Linked DNA regions of Oreochromis niloticus. The protein of the gene in region 1 interacts with the protein of each later gene in a pairwise test. Links are inferred from orthologs where the notes say so. Each region holds a gene or a part of one and is shown on either strand. Other genes may lie near its edges.

Region 1 (3,919 bases):
TTCACAGACATACGATGAGATGGCAGATGGGTTTGCTTTCCTTTTTAGATTAAAAAAATACCCTAATTGCCACTAAATGACACCATTTGCTCAGCAGCTTTAAGTCTGATTTTTCCTGCATGAAAACAAAGATTATTAGAACTTGACTGTGGTTAGGACATAACAACTGCTTTCAGAGCTGCAAATTTCCTTGGGCCATGCTAAAAGCTTTGCTTTTTTCCCTTGAAACCCTGTTGTGAAATGCACAAAGCCACACATGTGAATAGGTTTCAGGAACAATGACAGACTTGGGCCTGAGGAGAGGAAAAAAGAGGGTGGGGGTGGATGTCCGCTGCCACACATATATTAAATTCAAACAGCTCCAATGGCCCTCAAAGAGAAAGCGTTTAGCCTGTCAACGGTACCTTGTGGCTGCTGATGATTCGTGGGGCGAGCAGCGACTGCTGGGTGCGAATAACCTTCTTTCGCTGCTTGAGCTCTGCAGTCAGCGCTTTCACCTTCTCCTCCTGCTTCTTCTGCTGAACCAGCAGCTGCTCATGCTCCCTGCCGGTGGCCGACAGTCTCTCCTCCGCCACACGCAGATTGAGGGAGAGAAAGTCCTGGCAGTGGAGGAGCCACTCCACCGTGAGCTGAGCAAGGCGCAAGAGCTTCAGCAGAGCTGGGTCCACGGGGGTCTGGCACCGCTGGCATCGCTCCCCCTCCAAGCTACAGAAGGTCACCATGCTGATGTGCTCCTGAAGGGCATCCACGTCCAGCTGGCTCACTACTAAGTCTACATCCACTGCATTGATCCGCCGCCAGTCCACGCTTTCTCTGCGTGGGCGGAACTTGAAAGGGAGAAAGGTGGAGGTGGTGCTGGACGGAGTCATGCCTGGTGCGGATGATGCTGTGTGGCCGTTTACAATGTTCTGGCTGAGAGGAGAATTCAGAAGAGAGGGGATCCCGGCTGATGAGTGGTTCCCCTGGGTGTCACTGGTGTAAGGGTAGTAGACTCCCTCGTGAAATGGCTGAAAAAGAGAGGAGAGAAAGGGATGGAGTCACATTAGCATCAAATACAATCACTAGGAGAGAGAAAGAAAGACAGAGAGACATCAAGAAGCATCTGCTTCAGCGGGTAACGGCAGAGCACAGATTCCACCACTTCCTGCTCTGCCTCCTTCTACCTATGTTGCTGCTGCTGTCCTCACACAGCCAATCGCCCTTACCATCTTCGACTGGTTTTGCCTTTACTCGGAGAAACAGATCGAAGAGCCGTCACTCCTCTCCGGTTCCGCCCCCGTTGCTAAAGCAGCACAAAGCGACAAGCAAGATTAGGCGTCCGCCCCGTTACCTTGGAGACAGCGGCGAGCGTCCCTGGGGAGAAACGTTATCAAAACAGCGACCAACAAAACGTGTCCACACAGTTCACAGTGCGCTGTAACCTGCAGTACATATCAGCTTATACTGTACAACAAAGTCTCCTCATTCACCTCCGTCTAAACGGTGTGAAACAGAATAAAAGGAGAGCTAACGTACCTGCGGAGGAGCACGAGGGAGGTTCAGGAAAACGTTTTCCATGCTAACAGCAAATACCGTTAATCTGCCGTCACGTCTCTAAACAGTCATTTCAACTTCGGGCAGGCTTTTGTTTTATTCCCCTGCTTGACCTCAAGTCAAACAACAGCAGACATGCTTGAGCTTGTCCTTCTTAAGACTTCAAGTTACGTTTTAGAAAAAAAAAAGAAAGACCACAATAGCTTCTCCGAAAAGTCAAGCCGCTAGCTAAAGAAAAGAACAACTCTTTGAAATCCCTTCATGCCTGCCTGTCTGGGTAACGGACATTTTTCTTAAGTCAATATTAAACCTTATTACACATCACTAACAACTGTGAATGTTTAATCTTGAGTTTGACATTGGACTACCACATGAAAAATAACTTACCTGGAAGATTGTGATGTTAATTCGTGGCCTTTAAAAAAGTTTATTTTCGACGAGATCCTAGGGGATTTGAGGGTAACGTAGCTGCTGGTTTCCACATTCCTAAATGCCTGCTCTGAAAAGACAACGGTCAAGACAGACGTAATAAATACGACACTTCCGGCGCTTGCCTTTAAAATAAAACGCCAATGCAGCAGACAAAGTTTAAGCTAAATTTAAATCTTTTTATTTCATTTTACAGAAACGCAGTAGTACAATGTTCCCAAACATTAGCCATATGCTATATGTTTAACCTCAGATTTTTTCCTGACTGAGCCTTCATTTTCTTTTATTTTTATGATTTACATTTTTAATTTATAGCGATATTCAATTCAGGTTCATGTCTTATTTTACGGCGGAAACTCCAGTTCACTGATCCGAGTAGAAACACATCTGTCACTCTGAAAAGTCTATTTCGAGCTTTGACACCAAAGCTTTCCAAGAATTACTACGAACCTGTACTTTGGCGAAGTAAACATCATTTCCGGTGTGATCCGCCGTGAGTTTGACGCATCTCGCAGTAAGAAGTGGGGGAAGGGAGCAGCTGTTCAATTTGGGGCTGAATAGGGGTGTAGAATCGTCCCACTTCAGCAGAAGGAAATAACTTTAAACACATTTAAAAACATAAAAAGAGAGCACATTAGAAGAAATTGTGAGGCACCAGCACATCTACACGCAAACGCACCATGTATAGATGCATGTGAAGATTTTGAAAACTTTCCGATCCTCTAACCTACAGCATGCCAGGCTTGCTCCACCTTGTGGTTGATTCCTTTTGCCTTTTTTGTTTGCTTCTTTATTGAATTATTTCGTCCTTTCTTTTCAGTTCCATAGAAGAAGAAGGAACAAAAAATAAAAACACACGTTCAAGCGGATTTGAACTTCTCGTGATCGTTGTTATTTTAGCTAGACTTCGTAGATGCGTTAATGTTGTTATTTTTCCATGTGAGGTATTTACAGCTGACAGGTTATAAAGCAACATATACCACGGTCCCTGGGTCTTTGACTCAAAGTCTTTTGGTTTTGTGAGTTAATGATTTGTCTTTGATTTTAAGGGATTTATGTTCTAAACATTTATAGACTTGTGTTATTGGTTTGATACCCCCCCACCTCCTCCTTTCATGTTTAGTCCTTTGCCCAGCGTTTGTTATGTATAGTTTTGTTAGTTCCCAGTCATCATCTGTCTGGTCTTTCTGTGCCAAATCTCCTCAGTCAATCATGTCTTCATGTTTGTTGACCTTTTTGTCTGTGCCAAGTTTAAACGTCTCTGTGTTAGTCTGCATGTTATGTTGTGTGTGTGTGTTATGTTCAGTTTAACCTTCTCTGACTCGTTATCCCTGGTTTGTTTCTACTGTTTCCCACGTGTTTTATTTTACCCTCATTGTCTGCAGTGTATTTATTGTCTGAGTCATCCAAAAATGTGTTCCTTGTGGCTCTGTGTTCCTTCCTTGGTTAGTTCCTGCCTCCTTCTTTACCCGTGTTTTTGTGTTATAAGGTTATAAGTATACAGTATCCCCTACGTTCTAAAAATAACCAGCGATAGGTGAAATCCGCGAAGTAGCCAGCTTCATTTTTTACAATTATTATAGATGTTTTAAGGCTGTAAAACCCCTCACTACACTTTTTATACACTTTTCTCAGACAGGCTTGAACATTTTCACACTTTTCTCTCTTGTTTAAACACTCTCAAAATTCAAACCTTCGTAGAAAAATAAGTCCAGTATTATAGAATGAAACCAAAGATCAAACCCTGTTTTCAGGTCCAGAACACGGGAATAGAGCAGCTGGCAGAGAATTCAATATTGATGAATCAATGGTACGGAAGTAGAGGAAGCAAGAAGAATGATTTGAGTAAAGTTTGACTTATCTGACTGTTTTGTTTTGCTTAATGCGCCTTATAATGCGGCGTGCCTTATGGTTCGAAAAATACTGTAACTTCTACCTTCCTTTAGCATGTCCAGAA
Region 2 (3,919 bases), on another chromosome or scaffold:
TTTGGATCCTTTTTTTTTCTAATGAAAAACTTGTTAACACTTACTGTTCCATTTCCATTATAATAGCAAATACATTTTCAAGTTAATAGATTTACATTTGTAAATTTGGAATTTGAAGAGGAATAAGGTTGTATCCATAGGGGGGAAGAAAATGGTAAAATCTACTACAAGATTAATATAAATAGATTTAAAAAAAAAAAGAAAAAGATAAATGACAATAATTAACATTGAGGATGTTAATTATTAACATCTTTATACAATCCATATTTAGAATTAGGCCAAAGGTTTCAGGACTTAGATCTATGGCACTCTTTTTAATAATTTAGGATATTTAGAATACATTCTTCTAGATTTCTTCTATGTTACTTTTGATGTAAGTGTAGTGATAAAAATAAAACTTTCTTGTCTCTATTACAGACAAAGTAAATGTACTAAAATAGAAACCTAATTTCCTGTGGAAAGGCCCTTATTTTAGGGTTTATACCTGTATTTTATAAACACACACAGCATGTAATGAGGAATGCATCGGGTTAGGGCGTGATACAGGCAGGGCCAAAGAGTGGTGTGAATTCCTAAATAATACAGTTTTCCAGGGTGGAATGACTGGACAGCATACGTCTTTAATGACTTTAAAAAACAAGAACAGGGTGCACAAGTTTGAATTTATTTTGGATTTTCTCTCTGGGGTTATGAGTGTACATACAGGCTCAAATATACACTTAAATCTTTTAATAAGTTTTCGGTGGGAGAAACGTTTCGTCACTCATCCAAGTGACTTCTTCAGTTATTTGTTATCGGAGTTTTTCCAAATGCAATATCTCAGGATCTCTTTTTTTTAATCCTAAAACAATCTGTGGCTTAAAAACTGAAACTATAAGTGGGATAATTCTTTAAAAAGCGCAAAGAAACACGCGGTGACAAATTGAACTCTTATTATATTATCTTATTATTATTTTCAATGTATTGCTACGAGACGTGTCTCAGTTTTTGTTCAACACCACTGCCTGTACAGCATCACCTATTTGTTTTCACATGTCACATGTTCAAGTCCCGCTTTCTGCGCGGCTTGATTGGTTTAAAAAGTTCCAGTTTTTTGAAATTTTCGCCTCTGATTGGCTGTTAGCAGCGTCAATCAGTGACGTACCCCTGTCAGCGCTCCGCAGTCAAGCTCACAGACACACAGTGACGGAGCGGCTGCACTGGGAGTGTTTACGGCTGCCTGCCTCAGCTCGACATCCAGTAATTTGCTGTTTTTGACAATACTCGGTCTTTATCGAGGTCGTGCTAGCGAAACAGTCTCACGCGATTCACTCGGAAGTGTGACGAAGGGTGAAATTTCTCTTAGGTGGATGAGGCTAACTTTCAAGCGCTAAATGAGTCGACGAGCGAAATTTAACTTCATCGATCGCGGATAGTTTTTTTCTCTCAAAAACACACTCAGCAGAATTCTGTCTAGGATTAAACCAGTGCTCGGAGACGCGGAATTTGTGTTTTAACGAAGAGCTGCAAAAAATTAACGGGGCAACTTTCTTTCGTAACTTTTTCCCCCCTCAGCAGCGGTGCAAATTGTTGTAACCGTCAGCTAATTTTTAGCAGGCTAGCTAACTGTCAGCTTAGGTCTACTGTAGACAGCTTCAATCCGGCAATGCATCTCTTATGTTTTGCAACAGGTAGACGTTTTTCGATCACAATGCAGCAGTAAAAAATGTCAGAAATTTAGGAGCTTATTCTTGTCGTGTTGGTCGCTCCGTGCTGTGTAGTGCGGGCGGTGTCGTGTGACTAAATTCGGCTTTTTTCGTATTTTGAAGACTGTCCCCCCTCCTCTGTATTTCATAGAGCAAGATAATGATGCAGTCTTTGGGCACAGCTTAACCTCCGTACCGACCGACCATGTTGGATCATACAAAAATAACACAAGCCTTCTGATGTGAAAAGGGGAAGGAAGCTTTTCGTATGACCTAGGAGATACAGTGCAAAAAAGTGTCAAGGTAGTTTTTTTTTTTTTTTTTAATTTTATGCATCAAAATGTCGGCCATCTCCGCATCAGAGAAAGTGGATGGGTTTACGAGGAAGTCCATGAGGAAGGCACAGAAGCAGAGAAAATCCCAGGGCTCCTCTCAGTATCGCACTCACACCGCTCCGGTCGAGCTCTCCCCGCTGCCGCAGCTCAAAGGTAAGAGGATGAAGGGGTCCGCCGCTTAAAATAGTCTGCCTGTCATGACCGCTGTGTGTGTGTGTGTACACTGTCGGATCCACTGCAGGTACACTGTGCATGCAGCCAGAAATGCATTGCACATTTTAAAGCTGGTCTGTATGCAGAAACCTGCCAAAAAAATGAAGCACATCTATTAACACTTGCAAGCAGCTTGTAAGAGTTGACCACAGGGTGTTTGAAAAGGCTCTGTGCCAAAGTGTGTTAAATTGGTTTTGTATTCTTGGAGAGTTTTGTCAATAGTTGTATTAACATCTCTTGATCCATTGTTTTGTTTTGTTTTGTTTTTGTGCTTGCTGGATGTTGTGTAATGACAAATGCACATCTCCAGAGCCATGTTGTCCGAGTGGCTAAGAAGGATTTATGTATTTGCGTCAAGGTGTTTTGAAGGATCAGTGTCTCCACACCTGATGCACTGATTGTAAAATTGAATTTGGCTTTGATATAAGTTTTGATTTGTCATGTTTTTAGTGTTTATTCCTTGTCTTGTACACACACACAAATAGCTGCCTTTTTTTTTTTTTAAGTCCAGCCAGTACAGCTCTTCATCACTCTACCATTTTATTTTATTTTTTGGCAAGCACTGTCTGTGTAGGGCCTCAGTCAACCAGACCATGATAGTCTTGAGGGTTTGAAAAAGAAGGCATCTGGACTTCTTTAGGTTTGTGAAGAGGTTTCGGCTTTCATCCAAGAAGCTTCTTCAGTTCTAAAACAACTGGTGGAGAGTCCTGGGTAATTAACCCCTAGTGGGGGACTGTCCCCTTTGGAGGTGATTCTGAGCGTCATGTTGACTCACATGATCAATAGTGGGTCAATAACCCTTTTGTCCTCACAAACCTAAAGAAGTCCAGTTACCTTCATGCATTGCATTTTCAAGCTTGTAGGCAGCTGGTTCAGAATGGGCCTTTGATGGGTAAGCGTTTGTCTTGCCTGACTTAACAGAATTTTATGTTTTTTCCCTGTTATCTCTGCCCATTTAATAAACAAATATAATTATTTAAAATATCTGTTTATAAGTTTTCAAATTCTTAAAAATATTAAAAAGAATAATACCGGAAGCTTACTAACAGACTAAATTAACATTGTTACTTTGTGTTGCAGGGGTTCATAGTGCAGTATGATAATTTATAAAAACGATAAAGATTCAATTTTTCAATCAAGCTGATGACCGGTAGCCAGACTTTCTAAAGGAGACCTGCTTTGTTTGACATGGGTGTAGCACATTTTCTAATTCCTTCAGCCACCCAAACTGGAAAGTTGGATGTATCTCAGACTTTTAAGATTGTAGCACAATTTTTCTTGCTAACATTGTCTATAAAGCCTGAGCTTCATAACGACACTTCACACTATTCGAGTCAACCACCCCAAACAATGCTGTAAGAGGGGCAAAAGGAAGCACTCTGTTAAAAGCCTTGATAAGTAACTCAAATATGTGACCCCCAAAAAATCTGTAATCTGTTAGACTGCACAAACTGATGAGATGGATTTCGTTGCTCAATTGGACATTTCACACACAGCGGTGAAGTGCTTTTGAATAATTTATGTAATCTGGTTGGAGAGAAGTGTAGTCTGTGGTAAGTTTTGAATTGTGTCTGTGCCATTTATAGAGAGAGCATGAATATTTCCCAAGGATTTTTAAGGTAAATACCATCTTATTTGATATACCAATTGGTAAGCAAGGATGTTCCTGGCCCATACGGATAATGA

What was found.
Region 2: the proteins of dzip1 (region 1) and ppp2r5a interact in binary tests that used the Homo sapiens proteins (3 or more experiments, as listed by UniProt). The link is inferred for Oreochromis niloticus from reciprocal best matches to the Homo sapiens genes DZIP1 and PPP2R5A.

Annotation. Positions count from the first base shown.
Region 1 is NC_031986.2:5,484,578-5,488,496, reverse strand, and holds the start of dzip1 (cilium assembly protein DZIP1), read right to left. Parts: upstream 2,528-3,919; 5' UTR 2,413-2,527; intron 2,033-2,412; 5' UTR 1,921-2,032; intron 1,354-1,920; 5' UTR 1,209-1,353; coding exon 1,206-1,208; exon of another isoform or gene 1,164-1,205; intron 1,008-1,163; coding exon 405-1,007; intron 1-404. UniProt on the Homo sapiens protein: Molecular adapter that recruits protein complexes required for cilium assembly and function to the cilium basal body.
Region 2 is NC_031980.2:13,647,086-13,651,004, forward strand, and holds the start of ppp2r5a (serine/threonine-protein phosphatase 2A 56 kDa regulatory subunit alpha isoform), read left to right. Parts: upstream 1-1,123; 5' UTR 1,124-1,239; intron 1,240-1,836; 5' UTR 1,837-2,025; coding exon 2,026-2,173; intron 2,174-3,919. UniProt on the Homo sapiens protein: The B regulatory subunit might modulate substrate selectivity and catalytic activity, and might also direct the localization of the catalytic enzyme to a particular subcellular compartment.